Tamandua tetradactyla: one gene and its partner. The protein of the gene in region 1 purifies or fractionates together with the protein of each later gene. This does not show direct contact. Links are inferred from orthologs where the notes say so. Each region holds a gene or a part of one and is shown in the gene's direction. Other genes may lie near its edges.

Region 1 (8,236 bases):
TGGCTTCTACCATGTTTTGCTAAGATGAAACAAGTAAATTACACAAGCAGAAAATGTTTGTGACAGAAGAGGCAGAAGTACATTGGATCAAATTAGGGACAGTAATCACAAAGTGACAATAACAAATTGCCCTTTGCTATATGAAATGCAGGTGGTTTTTTAGGAATGAATATGATGTTAAAGGCTACTGAATTATCTCATCTTTTTAACATAAAGGAGCAATGATAATAATTGCTAATGTCTATCAAAAGCTTTCTATGAGATAGGTCCTTTACTTGCATCATGTCATTTAAGCCTCCTAACAACACATTTTTCAGATGAGGAAATACACACCAAGTTTAAATAACTCTGGTTTAAGTGGCAGAGCAGGGATTCTTATTCAGGTTTGTCTGACTTCAGAACTTCTAACCACTGTATCAACCAACTGCCTCCACCTGCCCCAGAAACATACTTCAGTGTATGTGTGTTTACAGGTTTGATAAGCCTAGGTGGCAAAATAAATTACAAACCCAATAACCTTTATTAATAAAAACCCATCGGTATTTCAAAGGCAATGAACCAGTTTAACCCTTAAGATGTTATTTGAATTTCCTAACTTTTGTACACTTAAAATCTGTTTTAAAAATAGTAAAAACAAAATTTTAAAATGGTTTTAGGGGAAATTAGGACTCAGAGAGTTTAAGTGACTTATTCAAAGTTATCACACTAAGAGGCAGGGTCACCAACCCTTCCGGTTCCAAGACCAAAGCTTTTCGCACTATATTAGCTATTTAAAGATAGTTATTTTCTTCATTTAGACTTTTATATGCTATTGGCAAAATATACTTAATTATGACTGGGTTTTATAAATCAATAAATTAAGGCTTATATTAACAAATAGTTTTATCCGGAATTCCTGAACAGTGTCTTTTTTTTAAGCCAAGAGTAAAATCCCTTTTTTGTCCAGCTTTTCACTTAAACAAAATGGGCAGAGTTAATCACTAAATATATCTATATAAAGCAGCAATACAAATACGATCATTTCTATTACAGCTGAAGAGCACCACCTAGAGATGAGAAAAAAGGACAGAAAAATTCATTGGCCAAGCAGCATAAAACTGCTTAAGATTTTTATCTGTAGCAGTATTTTTCCAAAGTTTACACTAGGGATGCTAATAGGAATTATAAAATAAAATTTTAAAATTTAATTAAAAATGAGCTCTTGGTCAAATAGGACAAGGAAAAACTGAATTACAGTTAAACTGGCTTCCCAGCTGCAAGTGGCATCACTGCTCTCCTCACTATGAGGGACATGATACACAGGGGTGAAAGTCTCCCTGGCAGCGTGGGTGATTACTCCCAGGGATGAGCCTGACCCTGGCACCGTGGGATCCACAATGCTATCCTGACCAAAATGGGAAAAAAGTGTAACAAATAAGGTATCAGTGGCTGAGAGAGCTCAAATAGAGAGGCTACACTGGAGAGTACTCTTAATGCAACCTTCAGTTAGACACTGCTACCTATCATAACTTGCCAAACCCCAACCAAAATCATTCCTGCCAATCTTACGGAACACCTAGATGTTATGTAAGATTCTTCAAAGTCTCCATGTACAAGGCTAACTTTCCAGAAACCTACAACCTCCAGATGGATCCCTGGAACTGATAAGTCCTGAAATGCAGAGGGGCCAGCCTCTTCAGAGCATCAACTAGGTCCATTCCCTTATCCCATATTTTCGACAATCCTTTCAACATTAAAAAGTTAGAATGGGCATAGCCCAAACATCCCTCAAGAGTGAGAGAAAGATCAAAGGTGATGGTGGAGTTATACAGAGAAGGTAGGGTAACAAATGAGTATGATTGCTGAATCATTATATTGATATTTCTTTTAGTCTCCAAATCTAAACTTGTGGAATTATAACCCATACCAAACTCTGAAATCTGTTCTATAATTAACTGTTGCAATGTGCTTTGAAATGTATTGCTTTTTTGTATGTATGTTATTTTTCACAAAAAAGAAAAAAGTCTATTGTGATGATTAATGCACAGCTATGTGAAAAGTAAATAAAAAGTAAAAAAAAAAAAAAAAAAAGAAAGGTTTAATTGGCTCCTTTATTGTGAACTTCTCAGAAAAATAATGGCCAAAATTCATTAAGTGCTCAGTCCGAGCCAGTCATGTTACAAGCTTTTACACATATTACCATATTTAGTCCTCATCAGCCTATGAAATGGAAACCATGATTACAGATGAGCAAATTAAGGCTTAAAAAGTTAATTAACTTGCTCAAAGTCACATACATACCAAGTAAGTGATGGGCAGCCTGGCTTCAAAACCTAGTCTTAAATACTCCAGAGACCATAACTGGCAGCCTAAAGGCTGAATTCAGGAGCAGGTAAATTTTTAGTCTGCTCAGTGTTGTCAACATTAAAATACTGGGAGATTCTATATAAAAATCGTATATCCAGATTTTTTAAAAAATCATTTGAAAAACTGGACGATCTGGGGATAGTGGAATGCAAATCTACATGGAAACAATTAGTTTTTATTCCTATTTTAGAAGGGGCATGCATTCGCCAGATTATTAAGTCCTCAAATTAAATAAGGAATAATTCTTATACCTTGCCTATTTTTGTTACCAAGCTAGGGTTCTGCAGACATTTTGTCTGCCACCCCTGCAGTACTGCATGTAATAAAGCCTTTAATATAGAAATGAATACTGACAGTTTCTAAGAGTGCTGAGGAAGATGCAGTTTTCCCCAAATTTATTTGAATAGGTAGCACTTTCTTCCAAAGGCTGAATACATTTTGGAAATGCTGAGCTATAAGCATTTATAATTATCATAACTATACAAAGGGATTTAGTCTTTGGATAAATACCAAAATGTGAATGAAGGAAATGGAAATTACTTACAAATATTAGTCCTGATATTAAAGATGACGTCCCTGTAAGTGCCACATAGAATTTGGGTGTCAGTGAATTTAAAAATACTGTCACTGTCAAAAGAAAAAAGAAACCAAAGTTTAAAAAATGCAAATTCAAAGTATTTAAATTAAAAATATGCAGGTGAGTTTATGGCTAGGGGGACAGAAGTAATATTAATATCTAGCATGAGATTCATTTGAGAAAGTTGTAATTTTTTAAAAAAGATCATTTAAATTCCCATCACTGTATATCTTAAAAATGAATTCGCACCCATAAAGGGTAACATTTTACACTATTGACTTGTTAAATAAGCAGCCCATCAAAATGAGATTCTTGAGCTTGCTCCTGAGAATAAAACTAAGAATTTATCGGTCATATTATGGACAGGAACTTCTGTTACTCTATAAGGGCAAGAAGCTAAACAAACATCCTTTCACAAAGGAGGTTTAAAACTACTTATTTTGGTGAGACACAAAACAGTGTCTCAAATTAGAATGATAGAATTCTGGCACAGTGAGGGTAGGAAATAGCGTATATACCTGGCATGTCAGAGAGACAAAAGAGCGCAAAGAGAAAAGCAATAAACTGAGAGCTCTCTGTCCCTGACTCATTGTGAAATCCAGAACCAGATTCTTCATGTCAAATAATTGTCTCATAAATTATTTTTTTTGGACACCGGACTTTACGAAGAAATAAAAATCTATCATAATGAAATATTCTCATCTCTATGGTATATCTAGTTAACATGAAGAAAAAGAATTAACTCAATAATTAACATTCAGAGGATACCAACCAGAATTAAGGATTTCATTCACCTGCTACAAAGAACAACCAATTAGCTCTTTCAAATAATCTAGGAAGGCCAGTTTATTTAACTGGTTTTAGTGTGTTAGTTACATCGGAATTTACATAATTCCCTTCTAAAAAGTACAAAATATTTCATAACATTATCTCAGTCTTTCATGTCATCTTATAGAAGAGGGGATAACTGCCTTCTCTTATTACAGAAAAACAAACTACTGCATTGATAAGCAAAGATATCACGTAACAGAAATATTTGCATATTGTTCTGGGGTGCTCTCAGAGCTCGAGTGGAAAATTGCAATGATACGGTGAGAGGCCCAAGGCCCCAACCACTTTATCCGTGGTACTGCTAAAGGACACTATCTACAGTATCCACAGATATTATCACTTCTTATGGGTCTTCCATATTCGGTCGAAACTACATTAACAAGCCCTCTACAAACGTTGCATGAACTAATGAACTGCTGTTTATGACTTACTTTCTGCATATTGCTTCATTATTTAAGATAAAGCCTACAACAAAAATATCACGAAAACTATTTCTTGGCAGGTCTATTCTAAAACATGAGAATGGTTCAATGAAAAGGCCATGGCCTTTTTTTTGTTTGTTTTTGTTGTCTGAATGTGAGTTCTTTGAGATCTCTGTTCATCTGTTTTTTGGATGTGGGCTTTCAGCTGGGTTACAGGAGACTCAATGGAATGATTTTGAGGGGATCCTATCAACGGTGGGATATGAATTCTGTAATCCAGTCTGAGAGGGCTCACTTCTGTATTACCACCTGCAGCATGTCAGGTGGTTTTCCTCGGGTAAACCAGGAAGGAAGAGAGAGGGAGGATCCTAAGAGCTCTAGGGAGGAGCCAGGAGCTCAGCTTAGGTTTCACAGCGAGGGGTTGCGGCTCAAGAGAAAAAGAATGCACTAGCCACGCATTATCCACTCATTCTTCAAAGCCCTCCAGTGACTACAGAGAATCTCTGCCCTTTGGCCCTCGCCCCGGCACCTATTCTGAATCCCTGCCCGTCCCTGGGGAGGTCTGGGCCTCTCACCCGCTGCCAAGTTCTCACACAGCCTCAGCGGGACCCTCAGAGCGTAAAGAAGCCCCAACCCCACCACGAACCACAGCGAGGCCCCAGTTCCCGCCAGCCCGGCCCGCAGCCGCTCCTTCCAGCCCAGCGACGAGCTCAGGCCCGGAGCAGATGCAGAAGGAGATGCTGCAGCAGTAGCGACTTGGCCCAAGCCGTCACCGTCCGCCATCTTGCCGTTTCCGCAGGCGCCGGGAGCTGGGGGGGCGGGGGAGAAGGGGAGGAAACCAGGAGCCGGGAATCCTGGGATAGTGGAGGACCTGAAGCTGGCCTATTTGAAGGTCGAGTCCTAGAGAACGGAGACGGATTTGAAAGGTGGAGGAATGTCCTAAGACTGAAGCTACAAATTCCTTCGGGGGTTGGGGAAGGGATGGATAGCGACACCTGTTCTGTCCACATCACTGGACAGAGATGTGACCCCGGAGTGGTGTTTTTGCCTACATAAGAGGTGAGGGTGATCTTTCACCCCATTCCTGGGGTTGGAAAAGCCATCGATCATTCCAGGATCCGAGCAGCGTTTAGCGCTTTGGACTCGGCTGCAACGGAGATCATTGGTGCCGGGAAATTTTACAGGAGTATAACTGCTATTTAGTCGGATGGACTTTAAAGCTCGTAACCCAAGAGCAGTTCAAACACGTCCCCAGCGTCGAAGAAATGAATGAGAAAATGGATGTAACTCAGAAAAATATTTCACTTAAAAACGACTTCCTGTACTACTGGCGCTCGGAACCACCACCTCCGCCCGTAACTAACATGGCGCTCCCTCCGTCGGCGTTTCCGGGCGGGTCCTTCGCTGGGCCCCCGCGGTAATTCCATCGCTCGGTTTTTTTCCCGGCCTGCCTCGCGCGGGTGGACGGGTTGGGCCAGAGGAGCCCAAGATGGCCGACTTCGAGGATCGGGTGTCGGACGAGGAGAAGGTAAGGGGTCCGCCTCTCTTTCTGTCTCTTTTTCTCTCAGGGAACAGGGGCCCGACCCGGCTGCGCTGGGAACCCTGGAAGTGTCCTCAGGTAATATAAGTTTATTGGCCCGTGCTGGTATAAACTCCACGCAGTTGGGACGCTTCCTTCTCAAGGGGTCTTCCTCTGCCTCACGGTGGCTCTATTTCCCCATTCCTCAACGCTCTCCTTTCCCTCCTGGGCCTGAGGCACAGCCCAGTAGCCTCCCTGCGAGGGTAGACACTCTTATTGAATCATGACTGTAGACACGTTTTTGTGATTATGGGAAAGGCATTGGTGATGTCGCGACAAATCAAGAAGCGGTTGTTATACTGTCTTCGGCTAGTAGGGTTCTCCCCATCCCCCCATTATTAGATATGATTGTGGCTAATTTAGGGCAAGTCACTTCCTGGTCAGGGTGGCCTCTTAACTTCCCTTTTGCTCCTCCTTCCTCAGGAAGTGATTTTGCTGTCACGACTCTTCGACAGAGAGATGTCCCCATGTGTTGTCCGCCTTACTGTATATCCATGTTTTCTCATATACTATCGGCTTTATTAATTCCTTGTAATAAAACGTGTAGGGTTTAGGGCATTTGCTTCAGAATCTAAACAACTATGTTTCCTGTACTTTTGGTTGCATATATGTAGTAGGTCTTACTTCTTCTTAGAGATAATTTTTGAAAAATAGTTTTCGGTTTCAGCTGTTTTTGTTAAAGAATAGCCAGCGGACCTTTGTAAAAGGCCAGAAAGATTTTACGTTGGCATATAAACCTCATGTTCTTACATTGAAGTCTGCACAGAGCATCCTACCTTCTTTATCTGATGTTTCACTGTGGTATCTGATTATAGTTGAATTTGTCGATGTGTAATTTGTGTATTTATTTTTAAAAAGTGTTAAATACAAAAGCATATTCTAGTTAGATGGAATAAATTTTTCCGAAAGCTGCATAACTTTCTTGACAATTCACCAGGCTTTTCAATAAATACATGATTTTAGGTCCTGTAGAAATTAGAAGTAACTCATTAGATAATTTGTCAGAATTGTGCACAGGAAAGGACAAGACTCATGTTTTTTGTTTCCCATAGCACCAGTTACAAAGTGTGCACCCTTGAATGCTCTGTAAATGTACCTGGGCTCTTTATTTTTTTATTTAAGAGATTTGGATAGGATGGGTGTACTGTTTATTAATCCAAGAGTCCCGCATACAAAATGGTATACCTACTTAATGGCATGCTATTTTGAAATGCTGAAAGATATGCTAAACATAAAAAAGCCATTGAACATTTTAGCATTAGTTTTCTCTTATGTGGAAATTCTCATAAATGTTAAATACAATTTGGGGAAAATAAAGGCATCGTATATGTGAATTTAGGCTGGAGAAAAACTGTAATAAAATGTTTATTCTAAGACAAATAGTTATGATTCATATAAAATTAAATTATGGTGAAAGTCAAGGCATAACAAAACCCCAACTTATGGCCCACTTATTTAAGCAAAAAAAAGTATTACAACAAAATTTCACTAAGAATTTAGATAACAATAAAACTTTGAAGTTTATTGTGCCCAAATGACATTTCATTGACCAATGTTGGGTTTTTGTCTTTGATGCTAGGTTAGAATGCTTTTTAAATTAAACTTATTATATATTTTTCAAAGTACAAATTAAGGTGCCCTTGAATATTGATAGTGTTTAATATTAATAGTCTTAATATTAATAGTCTCTGTTGTGTAAGATCTGTAACCAGTCTCATATTTTCCAGTATAGTTCTTCTGTGCTTAATTTTAACTTAGTAACATAAACTAGCACATCATTATTAGGTTAATCGACTCTCAAAAAGAGTTGACAAGTATTATATTCGATAAACAGTTTTTACATTAATGACCTCTTCATTAGTGTGAGTAATTAAAAGTAGATGTTATGGTAAAAATCTCACATAGCAAATCGATATGGAGTTACTTGACATTGTTAAGTCTTATTCCCAGATGGAGATGAAACTGATCCATTATCTGTTATGAATCTGTAAGTAAAAAGAAAGGGCTTTGACTTGTAAGATCTCATTAATTAGCTGTCTTTCAACTTCGTACCTGCTCTGTCTTTTCTTCTTTCAGATTGAATTCCACAATTTAGAAAGTATATCTCCAGTAAAGTCTTGTCTATATGAATGTGTTAGAATTCATGAACAATAAGTAACCTTTACATGGGATTTTTGGCCTGTTTGACTTTCCCAGCTAAGGCACAATTAAAAATTGATTTTAAAAATCAACATATTTTGTCTTAGTTTGTATTGTGTTCTTCTTAATGGAAATCAGAGTTTTTTCTCTTTTTAACTAAGACTTCAACTGCATTTGATTTGGGGTTTTTAAAGAATTTGTATGTCATGATTCTAAATATATCTTAATACTGCTTCTTGTTACATTTTTCTGAAAGCAGTACACCCTGAGATGCATTTGTTGATATTAGTCTCTGATTTCCTTTCGAGTATTTCTGTGAAAGCCAATAAAATCAACCATTCT
Region 2 (8,088 bases), on another chromosome or scaffold:
CTCAACATCAAAAACCGGGGATTAAAAGAGGTACGTCTCTGTGTGTGGAAAGGATGAGCCTCTTCCCCTGTCCTCTCTATATGGGAAAGAAAGGGACAGGGGTTTTTCTGGCTTCTTTTTTACTCTTTCTTTTCTTCTTGCCTTTATAGAAAAAAGAGGTGCGTGTGACCCCTTCCCCTTCCTGGTGCAGGTTTCCTTAGCATGGTCTTAGATCAGTTTTTGTAGCCCATCAGGAGCTCCTGGTGGGGCTGGGAGAGGGAGGAGCTTGGACTAACCCAGCTGGCAGGAAGTGCTGGGGCGCAGGCCCTGCATGTTGGCTGTGTGTGGATAATCCAGCCCCAGGGTTTTTTGGGAGCTGCTTTTCTGATCTTACTCACAGGCACGGGGGCGTGTTGTCGAGGGTGCAGCGGTTCTGGGCAGAGGGCGAATTGGACCCTCACGCCCAGCTCTTCCTGGTTAGGGCATGAACCCCAGCTACGATGAATATGCCGACTCGGACGAAGACCAGCACGATGCCTACCTGGAGCGAATGAAGGAGGAGGGCAAGATCCGGGAAGAGAATGCCAATGATAGCAGTGACGACTCAGGAGAAGAAACTGGTGGGCAGTGTGGAGGGCAGGGGGCAGTCAGACTGCTCTCCCTGAGCCAGACCTGGGCTCACCCTGGGCCAGAGCTGGGAGTCTGGGTGAGGGGGCGGGGTTTCCACCAGGACAGAGCTGATGCAGCCCTTACTCTCTTTCAGATGAGTCATTCAACCCAGGTGAAGAGGAAGAAGACGTGGCAGAGGAGTAGGTTTTGGTTGCGCCTTGTGGGGGTGAGATGGTGGCCTGTAAGCTTAAGAGTCGAGAAGATTTGTGGGCATTTCTCTTGTCCCAGCATTAGCCACTGACCCAGGGCAGAAAAGGAGTGTCCAGCAAGGTCACTTGAGAGGTGCTTCAAAAATAGTCAGGGCCCTTGTACGTGCAAGGCGCATTTTGAAGCTAGCACAGCACAGTGGGGAGAGATTGGAATGGGAGTCAACTGGGTGGCTTTGGGTAAATCATGAAGGCTCAGCTTCATCATCTGTAAAATGACAGTAAGTCCCTCCATGCTTTTTTTTGCCAAGACTCTTGATTGTTAGTGTCAGAAATACAACTCGAACTTGCTTAAGTGTAAGAGAGAATTTTATAAGTTCACGTAACTAGAGAGTGCAGGGATATAACTTGTATCAGGCACTACTGGACCTGGCCTTCAAAAGTTGTGGGGAATCTGTTTGTATTTCTTGCTTTTTGGCTTCCTTATTTCTAGGCAGCTTGCCTCATGCAGTCGCAAGTGGACTCCAGCAGCTGTGGGCAGGCTTAGTCTTACTGGTTTAGCATCCAGTGTGCCCCTTCTCTCAGAGCAATGGTAGTGAGCAGTGTGGTCACATACCCTTTCCTGAGCCTGAGATAACAGGGTGTGCAGGGCCTTTAGAGCCTGCAGTTGGGGTGAGCCCCTTCTGAGTATGGGAGAGGCAGTTTCAACAGAAAATTGAGACTGTATTAATCCACAAGTATTGGGAATGAATATTTGGGCTGCAGAAATACTGATGTCTCCTAGCACTGCTTGCCCCATCCTTAGGAAGGTGAGTGAGCAGAAGCTTATGAAAGTTCCTTGAGGACTTTGCAGCACCCACAGGTGTAAGCATCATCTTTTGAGGAGTTCTGTCTGTATTTGGGCAGGTGTTAACTACGTGGGTGGAACTGAGGCTGGCCTTTCCCACTTCTGGTAGCAACAGAGTTCAGCCTTCATCAGCAAAGGCTAGAGGGTAGATGAAGATGATTAACCACAAGGAAGTGCTGACGTGCTGGACGAGTATGAGGCGACGTTTCTGTCTGGGAGTGTGGGATGGAGAAGGGACCGGGTTAGGCGATGACTAAGGAAAGCAGCTAGAGCCCATTGGCTTGTTTGGTTTTTAACATATTGAGCGAATAACCAGTTACCATGGCTAGGACTGGGGAGAAGATGGCTGAAGCCCCCTCAGCAAAGGGGAGGAGGCAGGGCTGGCGATCGGTGGTAGAGGCTGCCCTGCGGTCTTTCTCCCTCTCTTCTAGGCAGGGGTCTTTGGATTTGTGTTCCTCCTGTCCTGAGGCTGCAGGGTGCTGCCTTCCCTTCCTGAATCTGAGTCCCGCTCTTTTTGGCAGATTCGACAGCAACGCCTCTGCCAGCTCCTCCAGTAACGAGGGCGACAGTGACCGGGAGGAGAAGAAGCGGAAACAGCTCAAGAAGGCCAAAATGGCCAGGGATCGCAAGAGTCGCAAGAAGCCTGTGGAGGTGCAGACTTGGCTCTAGACGGGAGGGTGTGAGGGGAGCCATTCTCCACTTCCCATCTGCCGCCAACAGAACTTGCCGATCGGCCATCCTGGGGCTGCTTTTGTGTAGCCAGTGATTAGGGCATTGAGGGTTATCTTCTTGGAAGTTTTTCTCTCTGGTCCTTGCCCTTGAGGTAAAGTTTAGCTCCTGGGCCATGTGAATCAGGGGTCAGGCCCAGAGAAAAGGGGGCCCCTACGGAGCTAGGCACTGGAATGCTGAGGGGAGAAGCCGTGCTGTTGCCCACCCTCGGGAAGCTCTTTGTGGCCTGCTATTCTTTGGTCCCCCTTTTTTTTTTTTTTAAACCCAAGTAGGTAATCTAAGTAATAGCTGTGGGAGAATGGGGGGGGCGGGGAGTGTCTGGGAAGTGGATGTCTGGAGGCATTTGGATCCTCCCTCGTGTAGGCGAAAAAAGGCAAAGACCCCAATGCGCCCAAGAGGCCCATGTCCGCCTACATGCTGTGGCTCAACGCCAGCCGGGAGAAGATCAAGTCAGACCACCCCGGCATCAGCATCACCGATCTTTCCAAGAAGGCGGGCGAGATCTGGAAGGGAATGTCCAAGGAGAAGAAAGAGGTAGCAGAGACAGGGGAGGGTTTACAGGGCTGGCGAGAAGGGCTTTATTGGGGTGGGGTGGGGTGAGGGTCTTGTAATTGGGACAGGGGGCACACTTGGGCCATTGGTGGAAAATTTCTGTAGAGGATGTTTTGCCTCCATGGGGGAAGAGGTCTCATTCTCTGTTCTACCCTCTCACATGTGTGTGTGTGTGTGAGTGACAGGAGTGGGATCGCAAGGCTGAGGATGCCAGGAGGGAATATGAAAAAGCCATGAAAGACTATGAAGGGGGCCGGGGCGAGTCTTCTAAGAGGTGAGTCTCTGGAACAAAATGGCATCTGTTTTTTTTTTTGGCAGAGATTTCTGCAGGTCAGAGTTGAAAGTGGAGATGTTACAGATATTTGACTGGCAGTACTTCTCAAAGCTGGGGGTGGGCAGCTTCCCAAGCAAGGTTAATGTGCTCTCGGGGGTTGCTGAAGCCACCGGATAAACATGGACTATTTCCCTGGATGGTCGATTTTATTTGAAGGTGTAAAGGAACATTTTTGTTTGTTTGTTTTAATTATAATGGAACATAATGCAAAATGTGCATGTATTTGTTCAAGATGATAAGTTTTGCAGGTGGAACTGCTTCAAGCTGTGACCCATTTCTTCTGGTGTATTCATTTAGGATTCTCTCCCTGGGACACTTTGGACTAACATGGCTGACAGTTTATGTCGTGTGAATTGGGCAACATTGCCTGGATTGGGAAAGGGCCCTCTTAAGACCAGGAGAGGTTTGGCCTAGGCGATGATGGGAAGGAGCCTGAAGGCCGACCCCTTTTTTCCCCTCTTGCTAATACAGGGACAAGTCAAAAAAGAAGAAGAAAGTAAAGGTAAAGATGGAAAAAAAATCCATGCCCTCTAGGAGCTCATCGTCTAAGTCTTCATCCAAGCAGCTAAGTGAAAGCTTTAAGAGTAAAGAGTTTGTGTCAAGTGACGAAAGCTCTTCAGGAGAGAACAAAAGCAAAAAGAAGAGGAGGCGGAGTGAGGTGTGTGGGAGTGTGTGGTGAGCGGCATCCGGGGGGATGTTCCTGGGCCAGGTGTTGTGGTTGGTCTGTAAGCGTAAAGGAGGTTGAGTGAATGAGTGGAATTCTGAGGTTCTGAAGGCGGATGGAAGGTGGATTGGGGGCCCTTCGCTACTGAGAAGTGGCTGGGAGGGCAGCCAGGACTCAGTACCCTTCCCCCTAAGAGGCCTTTGATTTTCAGGATTCTGAAGAAGAGGAACTAGCCAGTACTCCCCCCAGCTCAGAAGACTCGGTGTCAGGATCCGATGACTAAAGAGGAGGAACATTCTCTTTCTCTGCTTGTCCTGTCGCACCACCAGTCTCCCATCCCTGCTTTAGTACCAGTTTTCTCCTGACAGGAAATGTAGTCCTTGGAGTTCTGTGCCATCTGCACAAGCTCTCCTGGTTGGACGCACTTCACTGGGGCAGCAGGGGAGGCGTCTTACTCTGCTCCCTCATAAGGTTGGCTCTTTATAATTTGGGAAGACACTGGGTGGGAGGCAGGGCAATGTGGGGTCCAGCTCCTCAGCCTTAGGGATACTCGCTGCTGCTTATCCTGTTCAAGTTGCTGCAGCAGGGGTCGCGTGAGGTTAGGCCTGTAGCTCCTAACTGGGGCATATTTCTACATTTATTTTGTATTTCTGGTCTGTGAAAAAAAAACATTTAATAAAGGGAACTGACTTTGGAAACCATGTTTTTATGCTTTCTCTCTGGCCCTGTTGCATTGGCCCTACTACTGTTGGTGTTGTCTCCTGCAGTGCCCTGATTGGGCAGGCCTGCTGGCCAGCTGGGAAGCAGGTCTCCAGGTACATCCTGTCCTGTTCCCGACTGGCCAAGCATTGGTTTTCAACCTCTTCTGCCAGAATGGGCCACCTGAGAGTATAGAAATGAGAGCTGATGTGATTAGGAAGTCTTGCTCACAGTTCCACTCCATTAGCCAGGCTGATGGGAGGCAGTTCCTGGCTCCATCCTTCATCACCTATGAGTCAAGGGTCTTCCAAGATTTTAGGTAATTCAATCAGGATTGATCAGCCTCCCTACAAGGGTAGGGGTGAGGGGGAGTGGAAATCTGAGCCTGGAGAGTTGGGGGAGGAGGAGTGATGGGTGTTGGGGGGCGGTGTGCGCGCCTCATGGGGGTGCAGGGAAGGTGTGAAATGTGTGAAGCTTTTGTTCTTACTGGAGGAAGGAGGAATCCTAAATTTGGGGGTTGGAAAGTACCTGTATCTAGGAAGAGAGCCTAACAGGAAATAAATAAGGAGGATTCGTGGGAAAACAGCTGCTAAAGTCCTTACGGTGGGTATAAATGTGAATTTACGCACGTGGGGCGGCCACGTTGCTTCTAGTCCCGGGAGGACGCAACAGGAAACCTCGCTAGTCCTCCAGCGGGTACCGTCTTCGTAGCCGTGACTCTATGGCACTGCAATGTGCACAGGCGGCTTGGGGCTGAGTCCTGGGCTGTCCTAAGGCAGTCTCCTGTCCTCTCTAGGCAGCCGTCTCGGTGGCCATTTTGCCCAAAGCTCTTAGCTACCGAATTGCGTCAGTTTCGCCGGGGCTTGGACCCGGGGCGGTCCCTTCATTCGCAGGGTTCATGAATAATTGAGCACGGGGCTGCCTCTGTCTGCATCCGGCCGTGCGAGCGCGGCACCGGCTTCCCACTCGCGGCTCTGCTTTGGCTCATGAATATTCAGGAGGCGCTCCGGGGGCGTGGGCCTGGGCGGGGCCGGGGGCGGGGCCCCGCCGCGGCTCGCACTAGCTCGGTCCCTCGGTGACCGCGGTAGCAGCGGCGGCGCCGGCGGGGCTTGGCGTCGGGGCGCCGAGCCGAGCGGAGCCAGATCCCTGGGGAGCGCGTGAGTGACCGGGGACGGGCGGGAGCGCGAGGGAGGGGCGGGGTCCGGGGCAGGGGCGGGGGAGGGGCATGGAGGGGGTGGGTGCCTGCCCGCCCGAGCCCCGGCTGGAGCGGAGGGGGCTTCGCCGGGAAAGTTTGCCGGGGCCTGGGGCGCGGGGGTCGCAGGGCGCCCGGGGGGAGATGAGTCGCGTGTGTATGGGGGCGGCGGGCGCACGGGCTGGAGCTCGTGCTGGCGGAGCCAGAGGGGAGGGGGAGGGGGAGGGGGCGAAGGCTTGGGGCGGGGCCGGGGGCGGGCGTTGCTGCCGGGGCGACCCCCCCCCATCTCCCCTTCACCCGGGGCCCACACTGCCCCTGCTCCTTCGGCACGCCCCCAGCCGCCCAGCCCGCCCCCCACCCGGGCTGCGTCCCCAGACCGTCGTCTGCTCGCCGGCTGCTTGGTATCCCGCGCACAGGTCCTCCGCCTCTGTCGCCCCCTCCTCTTTCTCCGCCCGCTCCTCCTCCTCCTCCTCCTGCGCTTCGGCTGCCGCCGCCCCCTCTGTGTCCAGAGCTTCCCACTGGGCCCCTCCAGACGGCCCCTCGCCCCGGGCTGTTCCGTCTTGCCGTTGGTCCTCCCTCCTCCAGCAGTGTACGCGCTGTCCCTGGCGACCTCTCTGGCCCGGCATCTGGCCGGAGATCCCAGGGTCCGTAGGGGCGCACCCCCCACCCTTCCCCCACGCACCGAGACCCCTCGGGGCTCCCGCCCGGGGCTGGAGCTGCCCAGTGCCCCCCACCCCCACCCTCAGGCCTTCTGGCGGCCTTCACTCCCAAGGGTGGGCTCGTCTTCCCCGGACTCGGGAGGTTGGGGAGTGCTCACCGCCGCTGTGATTCTGCAGCTTCTGACTAGGGCCTTGACCACCTGGGGTCCCCTGGCCGGGGTCTCGGAGCCGCTGTGGGCCGACCCCCATCTGGGCCAGCCCCTCACATCCTGGAGGAGCTTATCAGGCCCCCAGCTGAAAGTATCTGTCGTTTCGGGGCCAGTTCATCCCCATTGGTAATCTCCCACACCATGTCCCTTGTAATAACGTTCAAGGACAAGGAAACAGTCTTGTGTTTTTAAATTTTATTTTTTCTGCCACGAGCCCTTCCTCCACGCGCACTTGGTTGCCGCCCTGCACGGCCATTCTCCCAGCCCCCCACGGGTTGGCCTGGGTGCTCCTTGGCAGACTGACCCTGCTGGCAGTCTTGGGTTCCCCTCTACCCTTCTCACACCCTCTCCCATCTCTGAAGCAAACTGGGGCACCGCCAAGGTGGGTGGGGTGGGCTTGGCAAAGGTTGGGCAACAGAGGTGGCTTCTTAGAGTTTGGGGGTATCTTCCCAGACGCGCTGGAATGGGGATGTCTTTCAGGGAGGACATGCTTCCTGCTGGGTTGTCCTCACAGGTTGCACGTCCCAGGTGATAGAAACCCTTCCCCTTCCTTTTGAATAGAGGGCCAAGGCTCTGAGTACCAGGGTGGAGTGCTGGGGTGGGGGGGGGGGGCTCTTGTGGGTGGGATGGGAACTGAGGAGGTGGTGGAGTATCTGGAGGACAGGTAACATGGCCCAGGCGGGCGTGTGGGAATGAAGAAATGGTCTGGGAATGCTGGCAGCTTGGGGTCTGGGGAGATGAGGTGGTTCCCGGGGATTTTGAAGCTTCTTGGTGACATTGCAAACGGAATAAGAACAAAATGGCCAACATTGACTGGGCCTCCTTCCTGTGCACTTGGGTTGTGCTAAGCGGTTTTGCATGTCTTATCTCACTTAAGCCTCCAGGCAGCCTTACTAGCCCCCATGTTCAGATAGGGAAACTGAGGTTTAGAAAAGAAAGCCACCTACCCAGGGTCTTGCAGCTAGAAAGTGGTGGAACCAGGCCTGGTTTGAACCCTGGTCTGTTAGATCCCTCAGCTCCCGTTACAGGTTTGGAGAAGGGCTACCCAAATGACCCCTACCCCAGAGCTGCTGTCTCCCCCCGACCCCCACCCTAAGACCCCTTCATGCCAACACTGGGTTGGTGAGAGGCCCACATTCTGCCTTGTCATTGGCTGTGACTGTCCCACCCTGACTGTCCTAGAAGGGGGAACCCCAGGGAGTTTTCCTCCCAAGCCACCCCACCCCCCGGATGTTCCCAAGCCCTGTCCCATTCTCCTTCCTCTTGGCTGGGCTCTGGAAATCCAGTGGGAGGCCATTGCTATGGCAACAGGACCAGGCCCTGGCTTTACCTCATCAAATTCCAAGCTGAAGCCAAAGCGATTGAGAAATTAAAGAAAAAAATGTATTCCAGATGTTTACTTTTTATTC

What was found.
Region 2: the proteins of CAPZA1 (region 1) and TNKS1BP1 purify together in Homo sapiens (affinity purification with mass spectrometry; 3 studies listed by BioGRID and IntAct, with this or other methods). This does not show direct contact. The link is inferred for Tamandua tetradactyla from reciprocal best matches to the Homo sapiens genes CAPZA1 and TNKS1BP1.

The regions. Positions count from the first base shown.
Region 1 is NC_135337.1:9,448,083-9,456,318, reverse strand, and holds the start of CAPZA1 (F-actin-capping protein subunit alpha-1), read left to right. Parts: upstream 1-4,984; 5' UTR 4,985-5,171; coding exon of another isoform or gene 5,172-5,286; 5' UTR 5,287-5,464; coding exon of another isoform or gene 5,465-5,465; 5' UTR 5,466-5,481; coding exon of another isoform or gene 5,482-5,482; 5' UTR 5,483-5,665; coding exon 5,666-5,704; exon of another isoform or gene 5,705-5,776; intron 5,777-8,236. Other genes in the region: ST7L (suppressor of tumorigenicity 7 protein-like), read right to left, coding at 2,891-2,973, 4,752-4,959. UniProt on the Homo sapiens protein: F-actin-capping proteins bind in a Ca(2+)-independent manner to the fast growing ends of actin filaments (barbed end) thereby blocking the exchange of subunits at these ends.
Region 2 is NC_135335.1:20,263,511-20,271,598, forward strand, and holds the start of TNKS1BP1 (182 kDa tankyrase-1-binding protein), read left to right. Parts: upstream 1-4,768; 5' UTR 4,769-4,938; intron 4,939-5,664; exon of another isoform or gene 5,665-5,776; intron 5,777-6,155; exon of another isoform or gene 6,156-6,227; intron 6,228-6,628; exon of another isoform or gene 6,629-6,840; intron 6,841-8,088. Other genes in the region: FACT complex subunit SSRP1, read left to right, coding at 1-30, 461-599, 743-788, 2,163-2,292, 2,734-2,904, 3,108-3,196, 3,728-3,914, 4,132-4,203.